Lepisosteus oculatus: one gene and its partner. The protein of the gene in region 1 purifies or fractionates together with the protein of each later gene. This does not show direct contact. Links are inferred from orthologs where the notes say so. Each region holds a gene or a part of one and is shown in the gene's direction. Other genes may lie near its edges.

Region 1 (8,085 bases):
ATTTAAGTGACCAAAATAAGAGGTAAAGGTGTTACAACCCTCTGTTTTCTGGAGGTCATACAGTATTTCTCCGTTAATGGAACACTAGGATACTGCTAAAATAAATGGAGATCCAATATTGGAAAACTAGAAATACAATTTCCTTAGTCCACAATATCATAAAGGAATACAATAAACTTGATGTACATTGAACTTGTGAGGGACCACCGAACAGTACAAACCCTCACTTTTATAATATGATGTTTGGAGTTGATCCAGTCATCCAGTATTTTGGGAAATTTAAGCTATTAAATAACACAGCACCGACTCTTCCTGATGCAAACACTATGCTTTTGTTCTAAATATATAAAAAAGGCTCCTTTTATGCCCCTTTAAATCCAACATTGCTTATACATCTTAACACATCTAAACAGCAAATAACGGCTCAATCACCAAAATAAAGAAAAAAGGGGTGATTGTAATTAAGCATGCAGTCTTTTAATTTTTACTTTAAGAGCAGTCAAAGGTGTAGCTCAAAGAACTACTTCTATAAGTTCAAACACATTACTTATTACAAACATACAGTATATTAAGAATAAAATGCTGTAAATCTCTTTGATACATTTATCCCAGGAAGTAAACTGATGATGTTTTTGTACAAATCAAGAATTTTTAACATTCAAGCCACTCCATGGGAGAATTACAGCTTCACAGATTGACACTACACAATAGGATCTAGTTTTAGGCAGCACCAACCTCACACACACAGGAGAATCTGTATTGTAACTCACTGGCAATATCTAATGTGAACCAAAGAAGCCTACCAATGTATTGCAAACCTCAAATGATTTAGTCACCTATGCCACCAAAATTACACTGATGGTGATCCACTGACTGGCGAGGACTCCAGCTGGAGACAAAATTCTTCCCTCTGACATCTCATGAAGCCACACATATGGGTACCAGCACTGCCGGCAGAGTCTTAAAATCACCACAGGGTAGTGTGCAAATTCTGAACAAAATTAAACATCCCTAGAGGTTAAAACAACAGTAAAAATTTCCAGTCGAAATTCAGATTCAGGAGGGGGAAACTTCACAGGAGGAATCCATGCAGTGAAGGAAGTCAGTCACCTACGCCCTGTGCTGGTTTTTGTATTCAGTGCTGGGCAGCTAACTTGTGTGGGAACAAAAGAAGGTGGTGCCGAATTAAAGAGCCTTTTTGACGCTATTTGTAGAAATTACGGAAAAAAAAACTTTTTGTGCAAGGCAAATACTTTAGATAAGAGGTCATGATTAAGGTCATCTAGGCCCAACTGCTGTTCAGAGCTCCGCACTGTTCAGTACCTAATGTCTCCCAGCTAAATCAATATACTAAAGCACTAAAATATTACTATTCTGGTGATAAAAGATAAGTTCCTAGTTATGAAAGCAATAACCACTATAATAGAAGGATTGTATGAAAGAGCATTTTCCGGTTTCTACCGAAACAAAAGTGGATAGGGGGATTTAAAAAATGTTAAAGATTCTAAATTAAACATTTTCAACATTCCTGCATCATGGGGCAAACTTTCCATAACTGCTTAATGGTTACAGTACTCCTCTAATGTTCAATTATGGCCACCACGAGAATCTTCTACAGATAACTATTTTACATGACACCTTTACATAGAACTATAAAAACTATAGAACTGCTCATAAAGCTGTGTCCTCATAAGAACAATTTTTTTCAGCTTTTATGAGAGGCAGAGACATAATTTATTGAATAACAGCCTTCAAGGGACGCAAAATGATTAACTGTATATTCTAATATTGATCAATACATTACAGTCACAAAGTCATTTAGGAGTCAGTCATTCAGACATTCTTAAGATGTATCCGATTTGGCCTCATCTCTTTGTTAGGAGTAAATTGAGCGTTTAACATCTTCCTTTCATCTGTAATTTCTTCGTTGTTGTTTGAGACCTTCTCAGCAATCAGTTAGGTTTCTAATCAAACAGGTTTTAGTTTTCATTAATGAGTTCCAAACTGATTGTCACTTCTTTAGATTGTTCAAGCAGGTAACTGCGTTAGCATGCGCAGGCTGCAAAGGAACAAGTAAAGGTTCCTAACATGCTGAAGAAGAAGGCCAAAACGTTGTGTTTCTTTTCTTCTCCTTTCGGCATGGAATTAACCTTTACTTTTTTAGATAGAATAATAGGATGGTGTGATACCCCACTGACCACCAAAATGGAAACACTAGAGAAGTACTCTATTGTCTGTGATTTTTTAATATTTCTGACCCTTCTTGTTCCTTTTCTTTCCACCCAATTCACCTCTTCACCTGCTCTAGTTCTAATTACTCCTTCCCTTTCTATAAATCTTATCCCATCCTCACTCTTTTGTGAAGGTCTCCTACTGTAAATTTCAGAATGTCTGAAGTTTCTGAAAGGCAGACAAGAAGCGGAGAGATACCATGATTGGCTAAGACAAAACAGGTTAAGACCAGTGGCAGACTGACTACTGCACGTACTGTGGTCACGGCCTGAAGTCTCAGCAAACAACAGTTCAATAAACAAGCAATTAGGTTTACAAAATGATACAAATACTTCAGAAGAAATGCATAAACACTTTCGTGATATATAAAAGTAGTAGTAATTGTACAAATAATTAGAGGGTAAGAAACATGCAAATTAATTACGTTCTTAATGAAGAAATAATATGGAAACCTGTAAATGGCACTAAAACAACAGATGTCCTTGAAATCCTGAAAAGAAGAAGAGCTTCTGAAAAAACACCTGGTCTTCTATGACTTTTACGGCACTTAATGGATTTAGGCTCAACAGTTAGGCAATTTAAAATAATACATACTAGGTGTCAAAGGAAACTGACCAATTCTGTCTGCAACGAAGTTATCAGGAATTATCAGTTAAAGTTATCAGTTATTTTTGAAGCTCGTGCACTGAAATGATATTGAATATATATGTGACATGGATGGGTTTATTATGCTTAACATTTGCCAACAACAGGATGAATCAATAGAGGGTCTACAGTGAAAGTCAGAGTCTAATAGTGTCTGTGATACATGGTTTGCACCTGGTTGCAGATGCTGTTTTGTGGGATTCTGTCCTCTTTTAGAGACTGGAAAACATGTTTTTCGCAGCCCGAGATGCCAAGTGTCACCTCAGCTCTTCTCACAGATAAGTAATGGGGCTCCAGCCAAGTGTCACCTCAGCTCTTCTCACAGATAAGTAATGGGGCTCCAGCCCCACGGTTCAAGTAGGGCAAACCTGGGGATAACAGTAATACCGTCTTCACACGGAAGACAGGACACAGGAAGCTGTTGATACACAAGCGACAGGAGGATGAGTGTTGTGCTACTGAAGTGCTATGTCAGGTGAGATCCCAGGACATGAACAATATAGTGCCATGACGTTAGGTTTCCATGAATCACTACCAGTGGTGTTCTGTAGCAGTTAAACACCCTTTTAAATGTTCATAAAAATTTCCGTAAATGTTTGCCCATGTGAGAAATAGACTGATTTCTGAATCTGAATGACTAACCATTCAGGAGACAGAGGCACTAGAAGTTCACTCATAAATACAGAAGAACAACTTTGACACCATGTTGATGCTTGTATATGGGATTATCAAACTTTTTAAAAATTCCACTGGAAAGCAATAGTGATGAAAAATGAGGGCATTTGACCCCTGAACTCAATTATTTCAACACACTTAAACTCAGAACTTTTTCATTTTACCATATACAGTATAGTAGTTTATGTCTCGTTACCCCACGACCGTCTTCTGAAGGCTTTGTATTGAGCTTGACATTTACTTGAGACACCTCGCTGCTTAAGATGGATTGGCTCCCAAATTGTCAGGTTTTGCTCCAACATACTGATAGCATGAACACTTTCATGCTCTCTTGATGAATTAATAAGACATACTGTATAGACCCCTTTCAATGTTTTTTCCTTTCAGTTTTACCAGTTAGGACATTCCACAGTTTGAATCACGTGCAAATCTGTGCCCAATCAACACTCACTACTGAGATGGTTTGGCGCTTATGCTAACGTCTGTCTAAGCTAAGCGAGCGCATGAGTCATGCTCAAACAAAATGATGCCAGAACATGTAAGTAAATCAATATCCCAAATCGGTATACTTTAAAACACATGTGACATAGAGGGATAAGTTTCTTTCGATTCTTAAGTATACATTCTTAGGTTTTTATTTTTGCTGGAGGAATCCTTTACATTACCATATATATTTATGCATATACACGTTTTTCTGTATCACAAACACATTTTAATATTCCTGAAATGATCATACCATATAGTACGTCCGCTTTCTCCATATAATAGGTATACTTAAAGTGGTAAGTGTATTAGAATTAGTTAAATGCATTCGTATGCCTTTATAAACAAAATGCATTTAAAATCGATTACTGTACATAATTGATGAGAGAAAAAAAGCTATGAGCACTAACAGAAATTCCCACTCATGTCACAGCTGTTCGTATCGATAGCTAAAAGATCGATGTAAAAGCCAGTATGACACAACAAAGAAATCCCGTGAAACAATCTGTTAAAAAATATAGCTATACTCATAATACATACAGTAACAAATAAGTAGCGATAAAATCATTTCCCAGAATTCCTCGTCTTTCACGCTCTCTTTTTGAAATTAGTTAACCGCCATCCTGTTTCGAAACGAAACTTGGCTTAACAGAGTGTCAGTAACAGTGTGCATTTTAAACGCATTTTTCTTTCGAAAAACCTGCAAAAAAAGGTCACGCGTTTATTTACTTTTTAAAATTCAACCTTCAGCAAGAACTGGTTGTAAGGACATGAAAATGAAAGTAAAGATACATCGTGAAGAATTATGATCTTTTTCTATGGATGTACATATTGATCAAAAAGTGCCCGGTCATAAAAGCTCTTTGTAGAAGACATTCAAGTTCTAAATTTGACACTAACATCACTTTTTCTGGACACCACAGCTGCCTGCCTTTCATTTCTGTAAACACAGCCAGAGCGCTGCGGCACCAAAGCTAGCAGGAGCGAAAGCAGCGCTGCATGCTGGGATAGGCACCCTTGTGCACGGCTAGCCCTGTTGAAACCAAGATGGCGGAATTGATTTTGTGGAGATCAGAGAGTGGAACAGGCCTCAAATGAAACATCAGTTCAGTAATCCAGGGACCTCCGTCGTTATCGCAGCTGCAGCAATAAACCCCCTTGCCGTCTTGCTGAAACCTCGTCGTGACTAAGGGAATACCTTGCACAACCAAATCACACTATATACACACACAACTGAGAGAGAAAGTCTCGTATGAATTCCGACGAGAAGCAGGACTGTGAGTGTGCGCCACCACAGGCCGAGCCAGCCCCTACAGGAGGATCCGACAGGTCGGTACGGGGCTGGGGAAAGGGCCGGGGATTCCGGTCGCGGTCGGGCAAGTAGGAGAGAGGAAAGGGAGAGATTGCCTGTTTTGTACGGCAGGTGCACGGTTATTAATCCACCGTTTATACCTTTCCGTGTCCCCGTGTTTGCAGTGTGTGTCTTTCGTGCTCCGCCTTTTAAAAAAAACGGCATCTTATTCTGATAAGGTTCGGTTGCAACATTTGCCAAGTCTTGTTTTTGACAGTTGGATGTTGACAGTAAACAAGTTGCTTTAGGCCGTAGGCTGTACGATATGTTAAGAATTTCAAAACTGTTACAGTCTTGCAAGCGCTTACCTGGTTCCGATTTTACAGTGCTTAAGAGAATGAGCCATTTAAAGTGACACACGGAAAGCAGTTATGGGAAATGCCGTTCTGTTTTTAGCATCTAAATGCACAGCAATAGTTAATCATGCACTGTCATTACCCAGTAAGGCCTGTCAGCTGCACGGAGCTAGCTAGTTACTGTTACCTGAGTAGTATATAGGGTTATGACGTTTCGTGATGCACGATCAGATATTTTCATTAAACTACTTTCGTACTGCTCGCAATAAGGAGAATGATGGCATTGACTTGGTTAATAGAGCAGCTAAGGTTTATCCTTTGCTAGGCCCCTCCAGTGCACCGTGTCAAACATATTTACACTATTTACCAATGGCAGTACGCAAGCCTTTAAATTACCCATTGCAAACGTTTTGAGTTACAGGTCTATTTTCTATTAGATTATAGAAGTTCTCGTATTAGTCCTTTTGATGTTTATACATTTCTTTGATTTCAATTTTAAAAGGAGCCATATAGTGATGGTTTGTGTCTCTGTTTTTCTATTTTATGAATTTTATGGGGTAGGTATATAAAAATAACTCATATTGTGAATAATGTAGAAGTGTACGTGTAGCTGAAGTTGTCATTTCTCCTCAGAGCAGCGGTCTCAAACTTAATTCCTGGAAGGTCTCCCTAGTGTCTCTGATCTCGGTTAAATAGTCGACTTGCTGAATGAATAAGCTGCTTAATTGAAATACATTGAAACCGGTCTTTGATGTGCTAACTGTAGATAGATATAAACTAACTTTGATTAAGTGAATGTCATGTGTGGTCAACTGTAAAAGACGTTTCGTAAATAAAAATAGGTTCAATGTTGAATTGACTACAAAAACCAGCAGACACAAGGCCCTCCAGGAAGTAAGTTTGAGACTACTGCCTTAAAGATATCAATGACCTTTGGAGCAGTGATTGATACCTGGAGAAGCTGCTATGTAAACTTTCCATTCTGTCATTCATACTAATTCTCTGAACTGTTCAAAGCTGAGAAGAGGAAGATTCCAATCTAGTAGTAGGTAGTCAGGTTTGACCTCAGAGTTCAATGTGTTTGTGAAAGGGTAATGGAAATTGTGATTACAAATCTGATACCAAGGCACAACTAGACTGTGCGTTAAAGTAGGCACTCTGCAGTTAGAGGCCCAGCAAGATTTTTTCATGGAATGACAAGAACATGCCTAGAGTAGACACGTGTAGTGTCAGGTTGGGAGTGTAAGATTTGAAACTACAGAGTTAATTTCACATTTTGAATCAAATACTTCATAGACTGGAGATTTAGGATCATGTGATTTCTAGGAGAAGGATAATGTCCAAATGGTATTCAAATAACTTAACTAGTGCAGGGATTGTTGGTGCTGGTGTGGACAGGATTAGAAGAATTTGAGATAATAGTGCAGTTTTATTTGTAGGCAGGCCCCCATGTGTCACTTGCTTAAAGTATTTTATCGCAACAGAACATCATTTTTTGCTCCCCATCTGTTCACTTTCTGAAGCAGCTTGATGCCCAAAATATAGGACTGAAGTCATAGTACTTCATTTAGCAAAGCCAGGTTCCCATCTCTTGTCATTGTACAATGAACAAAATGATAGGACTTTTATCTTCGTTGAAAGGTTGTGACAATTACTGTACAATGAACGTAAAAGCATTATTTTAACCGGATTTTTTTGTGCTAGTGGTCATGTTTAATGAATATACGATATCGACCCATTCAGTGTGATTTTAGTGTGTTCTTTCAAAGTTTTCTCTTTCTGTCAGAAATTAATTCTTTATCCGATATTGTTTTGCATTGCTTTTAGATCACCAGGAGAACCTGACATAGAGAACCCTGAAGCAAGCCGAATGTGAGTGAAATGTTCGGGGGCTTTATTGTTTGCAGTACCATGTCCTTACCCTGTAGTCTTACCTTTATCATCACAGCATCAGTCGTGTATTTTTCTTTAACACTGGTTTTGATGCCAATGATTTTTGACCCATTGAAATGTCTTACATACTTTACTAAATGTTTCAATGCATTGTTTTTTTACTTGAAGGTGCACATTTCTGTAAGCATGAACTTTCTGCAATATAGAGGTGTATGCATGGCGTTTTATAAGGCATGATCTTATTTTCATACTCCAAATACTTGTGCACATATCATTGTTCAAGAAAAGAATTAGAGAATTTGTGCCTTTCTTCAAAAACACCTTATTCTTTTCATTTTTATGTGTGCTGTAAGGCAGTCATATTTCATTCTAATTTGTATAGTGTACACTCTACTGCTGAACATGAACTCCTATAAGACTTTTATGGGTGCTTCAGAATAATTTCAACTTGCCTAATAAAATATTACAAGTTCTGACTTGTGAGAGAGACCTTCTCCGCCTTAATAGTTT
Region 2 (8,052 bases), on another chromosome or scaffold:
TTTCCTGGTAAGTGATGTTTGTCAGCAAGGAATGTCTTCGGTGCTGGAAGAGTTTTTAAATGACATGTTTCCTTCTGCTTATAAGCCACCTATGCGTAGATGCGGAGCTGACAGCATACCTGACAATAACAGTAATGGTACGGTTAGTAACGCTACAAGAAACGACCGTGCAGCTTGTTTTAGGTCCCAAAAACACGTTCCCGAAAAGGACGAAACATCTCTTACTGGGAGGCCGGAAGGATCGGAGTTCAATCGCATGACCCCTGGGGTGGATAGCGACCGGACTCAGCAGGGCAGAAAGGCACGCTGGAAAATTGGCAAAGCCTGTCAGGCCAAAGAGCGGGCCATAGACTCGCCTGTTATAATCTTTATTTTCAGGCACGAGTTTGTGTCTTGCAAAGCAAACCGAATCTGCCTGAAGGAGATCCTGAAGGACGTGAAAGCTCGTAGCCGGAGAGCGGACGACTTGCCAGCTGTGCTCGGCTTGATTCACTCGAGGAGCGAGACCGCAGAGACCAGCGAGTCGGTCCGGATTCTGGAGCGCTCAATGCGGACGGTGTTCCGAAAACAGTCCCCCGATTCGGTGTGGGTCGGGCACTTCATACCCAACAAAGGGGACGGAATGCTGGAGATCAAGAGAAACGTCTGCAAAGCAGTGCAAGCGTCTCCTCGCACAGGTATTAAGTTTTTGTCTTGGGTGTATTGCAAACAGTGCAGTATTCAATTCGGGTTAAAAATAGCATGAGTATAGTAATATGTTGAGGATAATAATATATCCTTATTGGTACCGGCTGATGTAGTGCCAGGGAATGCATGAAATATGTATGAGGGATGTAAGGAAAAAGACTCTCGAAAGAAAAAAAAATAGATATTACTGTTCTAAACGGATGAATCTTAAAGGGAAAATCTTTTTTTTTTCTTGGAACATGAACTGTGCCAATGTGGTTTACTCTTCCGGAGAACGTGAAAGTTTTATACAAATCTCCGCTAACCACTCAGGTTTAATTTGCACTCGACTCTAGCTTTGTACTGTATTAAATGTGATTTACTGCATACAAAATACACATATAACAAATATTGTATATTGCTTCCAAAAAGAAATGAATAACACTTGATTTAAGACAATTCATTATTAATAATGTTTCAAGAATAAAGCGATACGAGCTTTTTTCGTTGTCGGGGACGTAAAAGAAGGAAATTGTACTTGATATTCATTATATTTCAGTTGATACATGTGTCAAAATTTAAAAACAGGGTGCCGTGTAAAAATCGAATAAGAATGAAAGGAATTTGGCATTATCTTGCTTAGAGGAGTGTTCTTCCTTAGTCTACTCTTACAACATTTACTCACAAGTGCCTTTTAAATTCTAGCCATAGACTGCAGAGTGCAGCTTGTGTTTTCTTTTATATTTCTCTAAATTGTATACCAACCACGCTACATTTGTAGTGTTTTAGGGCCACAGAAAAGTTCACAATGCCAATGTACTGTACTTCTTTTAAAATGCAGAGGCGAGCTAGAGTCGAGGTCTGTGATTTAGATCATTCCTTGTTTTTTTTCTTCATATCCAGGCATTTGCAGTTTGCTCAAGAAGAATGGACATTCCTGAATTATTTGTCTTTCTGGATTTTCCTTTAGGTAAACTAAGGGATACGGAAGAAGGAATCCCACTGACAAGTTCCATCTCTGACCTCCGACAGATTGATTCCATGGTGAACAGTCTTGAGAGCCAGGCCTGAAGAAAACTGAGCCAATGAGCAATCTTTTGTGACTTGGGGTAAAAGTGTTGACCTCAGCTTAAGATACTAACGTTTACAAGGCATTCACTGCCAGTTTACAGACAAAATAGCTGCAGTTCTCAGAAAATTGTAACTGGAAACTGATTTCTTGGCATGACAGTCTTATAAGACCTTAGTGAGCGGTTGATTGTTTATATTTCTTCTTATCAGGAGAAGTTGAAGAAAAAGACCAACTCAAATGAATCAGGCTGGATATAAAGGACAAATACAAGGTTAATGCTGTCCTTCAAGTGTGTGTAAGATCAGGAGAGTCCTCAGCAGATATATTGTCTGCAGCTCCCTGGTCTGTTACAAATGCATCATCACATCCGTCTTCATGAAGAGGAGACTTGTTGAGTTTCTCCACATCTCCTGGAGTAATCACACATGCCAGTGTGTTATGTAGAAATATTAATGAAGGATTGGGAAATCTCTGGCAATCACAAAGGGCAGGAGCCCCTTTAGAAATGAGCTTTCATTTCTGTGGTTCATCTGTGTCCCTGTCAACATTGTCCATATTTACAAAATGTTGAATTTTTAATTTATTTGGTTGACACTTATACCCAAAGCAACTTTCCCAGCTGGAAATGTATTTTTACTGGAGCAATTTAGGTGAAGTACGTCTCTCCTGGGATCTGAAGCCACAACTTTCCAATTACTCCAGAACCCTGACCACTGCTCCACACTGCTGTCTTAGTCTATATTACACGATACAGTATTTTACTTACTGTTGTTTTAAGCAGTAAATAAAGTACTGTACAACTTAAATATTGAAATCTTAAAATGCAAAGAAGATTTGGATTCAAACAGATGTTAGTCCTTAGTAGGAAAGCGATAAACCTGTGAAACCGTCAAGGACTAGTTTCTAGGGATTTGTTCTGCAGCTTTCTTAACACATTGGTACTGTATCTCAATTTCTCTAACAAGGTCAATTAATTGAAACTGAGATACCTGTAGGAAAGATGTTGAGTTTAATTTAATTTCTCTGATATCAGCTGAAAGACTGATTCATCTCAAAGTTAGTTTACAATGATCGCTGGTGCAAATTGCAAATTGCTGTCAGATAAGTAAAATACTGAAAATAAATTTTCAATTTTTACAGTATATTAATGAATTTGAACATCATGTATTTAGAAAATGGATGTAATTGTTTTTGCACAGTTATGGAAATGACATATTCAGTTCTCCCTTTCATACATTATCATTTTAATTTTTAAATATTGAAATATTGGTAGACCTGCACTTTTCCTTGTTAAATGAAGTTTTAGTTATGGTTTATCAAGAGCGTGAATCCATTAGGATTAATGTATTTAGCACCTAAAGTAATTTTATGTACTCTTAGATAATACTCAGGGCTTTTTAGATACATTTTCATTTTGATATATATGGAACCTAATGGCCTTTGAACCTAATGAACCTTTGTAACCTTTATTTTGTTCTTACCTATTGTAAATATTTATGTATCTTTAAAAATATATAGACAAAAAAATGATGAAGTTTAAGATAACTAAATCTTATTTTACAAATATAAACACAGTAAAAGTACTATATATTTGATTAGGTTTTAATTACTGATGCTTCTATACTTGAAGAACATTGTATATTGTCATTTGTATTTTTTAATCTTTAGTAATCTTACAGTACGATATAATGCTAACCCAGTAATATGTAACACCAGTGAAGTTTATGCTAGCATTGCATTCTAAAATAATAATCAGTGCTATAAAAACAGACAATCTTTTTTATTAGCTCCAAATTATTGTGAACATTTCCTTTTTATTTTGCTTTTTGTCAATCTATGTGGGGAAGTATAGAAGTAATGGATTCAACTAATAAAAGATTATATAGCTATTTTGCAGTTTTTTATTTTTACTTGCATAGTCTCAAGATTTATTATTTTGTGTTGTTTTAATAAAATTGTTTTAATATTTGATCAATTTGTTTTAAATAATTTATAAAATGCTGCTAATGGTGTAATTAAATGAAATTCACATTTTAAAGGTGTCTTGTTTGTTCCTTTTCAAACTTGTGATAAATTAAAAGTTCACCAGCTTTGCTCCTGCTATGCTTTTAATGCTGGAAATCAGTTATCCTGAGTGCTATACCCATGTCACTTCACTGTTCATTGCTTAGCACTTCTAAACATACAACCTATAACAATTTACAACAGGTTTAATGGCTTAAGACATAACTTTGGCTTTCTTTAGCCTTAGCAGCTTTAAGGTATCAGTTAATTTCCATGTCATTAGTACTAGAAGCTCCCTTTACATTTTGTGCTTTATTCAACTTTCTACAATGAAAATGTTTCACTGACAGAAATTTCCCAATGTATTTCTTAATATTTGAAGTGTTTGAATTCATCAGTTAATCTTCAGAAATATGTCTTATAAGGACGATAAAATCCATTTGAACAGCGAGAAATTAGGTGCCTTATAGGGTCTGTTAATGTTAAGCTAGTCATACTTTTCAGGCAGTTGAAAATGAGTCATTATTGTATGACTCTGCTATTTTATCTCCATTTTCTAAAGGGGAAAGTGTTAAACAATGAAGCATTCCAAGGTACATTGTCAAATGCTAATTTAGTACTGATATAAAAAAGATATGCAACGGGTATAGTGAAACAGATATACGTGTCATTTTACCAAACATTTACTTTATTCTAAAGGAGGAACTGGAGATTCTAAATTAGTTTTTTTTGGCTACAAATTGAACTGGGTATGTTTGTCAAATTCCGGTGAAATGTACTTCTCTTTGAGAAAAGATTTCATAACTGAAAGAGAATTTAAGAGCTGAATATTGTAAATAGTGCGTGTAAACACCGGACTACTTACTACTAATATGTCAAACGTTAAATTCTAGAGCTGTTTTTATGTAGCGTATTCTACTTGATGTATTTTTGTTTACATGCAGGATAAACAATAACCAAGAACAGCTTTATACCTTACTTTTGGAACAGATACCCTCCTTTGTGTAGGGGGCGATGTTAAGAATTCATCACCGCTAGTAAAAAAAAGTCGTTAAGCTATTGGTCAGCAGTATTCGGAAGTGAAAAGAATATGCCCGTTTTAAAAAATATAAAATGTCGTCTCTTAAAGTGTTAAATGTGATCTTAAAATGCTTATTCTTGCATTTTATGTGACTATTGTTAGAATAATATATTAATTTTGTATCAAACTCATTATTTTAAATGAGGTATATCTAATAATAATCAGGCACAGTTTTGGGCAGTCTTAACATATTGGAAGGCCCCCGGTTGTCAAAGGACTTTCTTTGTGAATCAAAAATTAGCAGGAAAAGTGTCGCACAGTAGGTAGCGGGAGGCGAGTAATTGCTGACTGAAAGTGTTTCTTTTTTTCTTCGAAGACATTTTATTGTTTGAAGAGTCGAGACCGGAGGAGTAATAAGGGATTTTCAGCAAACATGATAACTTCAGCGGGTAAGGAGAGGATGCAGATGTGACTTAAGCAGTTGATTGCGACCCGGTAGATTTAGCTGAGTCACAGAGTCAAAAGACTGAGCGATGCAAATAAGTGTGTTTTGCCTTTTAAGTTGTACAGTATCTCATTATGAAACGTAGTACAACAATGTAAAATATTTTTATTGGACCCCCTAACCCTTAATGGGACATTTTACAAACAATCAGTTGTTGCTGATCTCGTTATAACACGGAACAAGTGAATAACAAGAAAAACAAACGTACCACGATTGTCCGCCGTGTGTCGGAAAAGTACCAATACGACCATCCGAGTTCACTACTAAAATGTTTTTTTTTCTAGTCTTTGTGTATTTGCGCGTGTTGTAAACAAACCTGTTTCAACACACATAACTGTGTTTCCCATTACAATGTTGGTCACTTTCCACATGGCAGCTGACGAGTTATTTTAGTAGCCTTGTAGTTGTGTTTGTTTACAGGAAATTCAGCGCGTCCCGCTGATTCTGTGGTTCCTATGTACCTTGTGTACAGATGTGCAACCAGAGTATATTCTAACTGTGGTAGATGTAGTCTACCATCCAACTTCATTCGTACGATCATAGGATGGCATTTCTAGACAATCGGTCAAAGGAGCTAAAAATATGTAGAGCAGTTGTCTCTTGCGTAACATTTGTAAGATTGTGTACAGACTTGTTTTCATACATTCGTTTGTCTTGTTCTTATAAATACAATTATTTGTTGTAAATATTGCATTTTTTCGTCTAGACATAATGAGGCTGGACCACCTTTTCCAGTAGTATTGCAGTGCTATCATTGGTAACTAATCTGTCGATGACCTTCTTACATGCCTTTACTGGAGCAGAAGATTGATTGTTTACTAACGTGGTATACTTAAAGGTCATTCATGTGTTCAGATCCACGTCTCTACAGTTTAGTGTTAAACATTTTGGTAGCTGTATTTGTCAACTCAGACACATTTCCTTTCCTTTTTTAGCTGGAATAATCTCTCTTTTGGATGAAGAGGAGCCTCAGCTCAAGGTGAACTGTTTGCCTTAAGTACACCTTATTTGCAGAAATAAGCTTGTGCATATACTGTAAAAAAACAGAGGTCCATTGATCTGAGAATCACAGAAACACACTGTTCTTGTTGATCTTTACACTTTGTGCATAATAGTTGTGTATAAGCAGGAGTACTGAACTTCATTTCTAGTACCTATGGGAATCGATCACATATATTAACCCTGGGACTGCATTGAACTTTAATGATGCCAACTTCTAATATAATTGTACTGTAATTTTTAATTTACTATGAATTTTATTTAATTCCTCAGGACTCTTATTTATATTGTATAGCACAGTTAAACTGTTCTCTTCCTGACTATAATAATCGTATGAGACGATAAACCTGCCAAAGGCAGTTCTGTGAAATCTGCAGTGTGTTGTGCATGTCATGAAAGTATCCTATGTTGTTTTCCTGAATATTTCTGATACAGGAGTTTGCTCTGCACAAGCTGAATTCCATTGTCAATGATTTCTGGGCTGAGATTTCAGAATCTGTTGGTAAAATGTAAGAATCTTTTTTTTTTTGGTCTCATCTACCTTTGTTATTCACAGATTAACTTGTCTCTTCTCTAAATGTCATTTCCTTGCCATATCAAGAATGGTTAAATACATAAATCATTCTGCACGCTTAGCCTTTCCAATTATCAATAGGTTTTATATAAAAATACATCTGAAATTATTTGCCGTGAATATTACATTATACAAGCTTGGAGCTGGTTTCCTTGTTACATAATTAAACCTTCCTCTGAGCTAACTGTTTCTATCCCGTTGATGTCTGATTAGTTAATTGTGCCTTGGGTGTAAACTAGGGTACTTATCACTAGATATGTTGTTTGTTACAGCTACAGTAATAATTAAAATAGACATTTCTTGGTCTGATCATTTTATGTTACTCTTTAAGTGAGGTTCTCTATGAAGATGAGACGTTCCGTAGCAGGGAGTTTGCAGCACTGGTAGCGTCCAAAGTTTTCTACCATCTGGGTGCGTTTGAAGAGTCTCTGAATTACGCTCTGGGAGCTGGAGACCTGTTCAATGTCAATGACGATTCTGAGTATGTGGAGACTATCATCGGTGAGTTCAGAAGTGTTAATGATAGTGATCGAAGTGTGTGATGAACCAGACTGTAAATGTTTAGAAAATGTTGAAGTGTCCTATTATTACTCTTTCTTTCTGCATATTTGATTTACCTCTGTCTCTTTTGAAAAGGTGGTGGAATTTCAGAATTAATTCTAATTAGTTGTAACACCAGGACAGTTGTTTTGAATTGTTAAATTGTTTCCTGCCCTGTAACTGTTATGTCAAAGTGGGCCACTTTGAATATTTCCAGAAACAAGATAAAATATTAAGACAAAAAAGAAACACTTGTACAAAGGAATCCCTCCACTTAACGCTTATACATTACAAGTGTATAACTGCATTTGGCGGTCATAGCTGAAGTGCTGGGAAGTGGCAGTTCAATCCATTGCTTCTTCTTTCATGCAGCAAAATGTATTGACTACTACACAAAGCAGCGTGTGGAGAATGCAGAGCTGCCGGATGATGAGAGGAAAAGCATTGACCCCCGACTGGAGGGCATTGTTAACAAAATGTTTCTGCGCTGCCTGGGTGACCATAAGTACAAACAGGCAATTGGCATTGCCCTTGAGACTCGTCGGCTGGACATCTTCGAGAAGACCATCCTGGAGTCTGTAAGCATTGACTGCGCTTGGCTGAACTGTAGCATCCTACACTTTTTAGTCTCTCTAACGTAGGACACACAACGTTATTACAGCTTTGTTTCC

Evidence for each region.
Region 2: the proteins of ube3a (region 1) and psmd1 purify together in Homo sapiens (affinity purification with mass spectrometry, with the first as the bait; 3 studies listed by BioGRID). This does not show direct contact. The link is inferred for Lepisosteus oculatus from reciprocal best matches to the Homo sapiens genes UBE3A and PSMD1.

Annotation. Positions count from the first base shown.
Region 1 is NC_090710.1:22,991,407-22,999,491, forward strand, and holds the start of ube3a (ubiquitin-protein ligase E3A), read left to right. Parts: upstream 1-5,055; 5' UTR 5,056-5,287; coding exon 5,288-5,364; intron 5,365-7,509; coding exon 7,510-7,554; intron 7,555-8,085. UniProt on the Homo sapiens protein: E3 ubiquitin-protein ligase which accepts ubiquitin from an E2 ubiquitin-conjugating enzyme in the form of a thioester and transfers it to its substrates.
Region 2 is NC_090708.1:8,525,863-8,533,914, forward strand, and holds the start of psmd1 (26S proteasome non-ATPase regulatory subunit 1), read left to right. Parts: upstream 1-5,040; 5' UTR 5,041-5,196; coding exon 5,197-5,212; intron 5,213-6,203; coding exon 6,204-6,247; intron 6,248-6,702; coding exon 6,703-6,776; intron 6,777-7,172; coding exon 7,173-7,342; intron 7,343-7,753; coding exon 7,754-7,959; intron 7,960-8,052. Other genes in the region: uncharacterized protein C2orf72 homolog, read left to right, coding at 1-677, 1,637-1,737.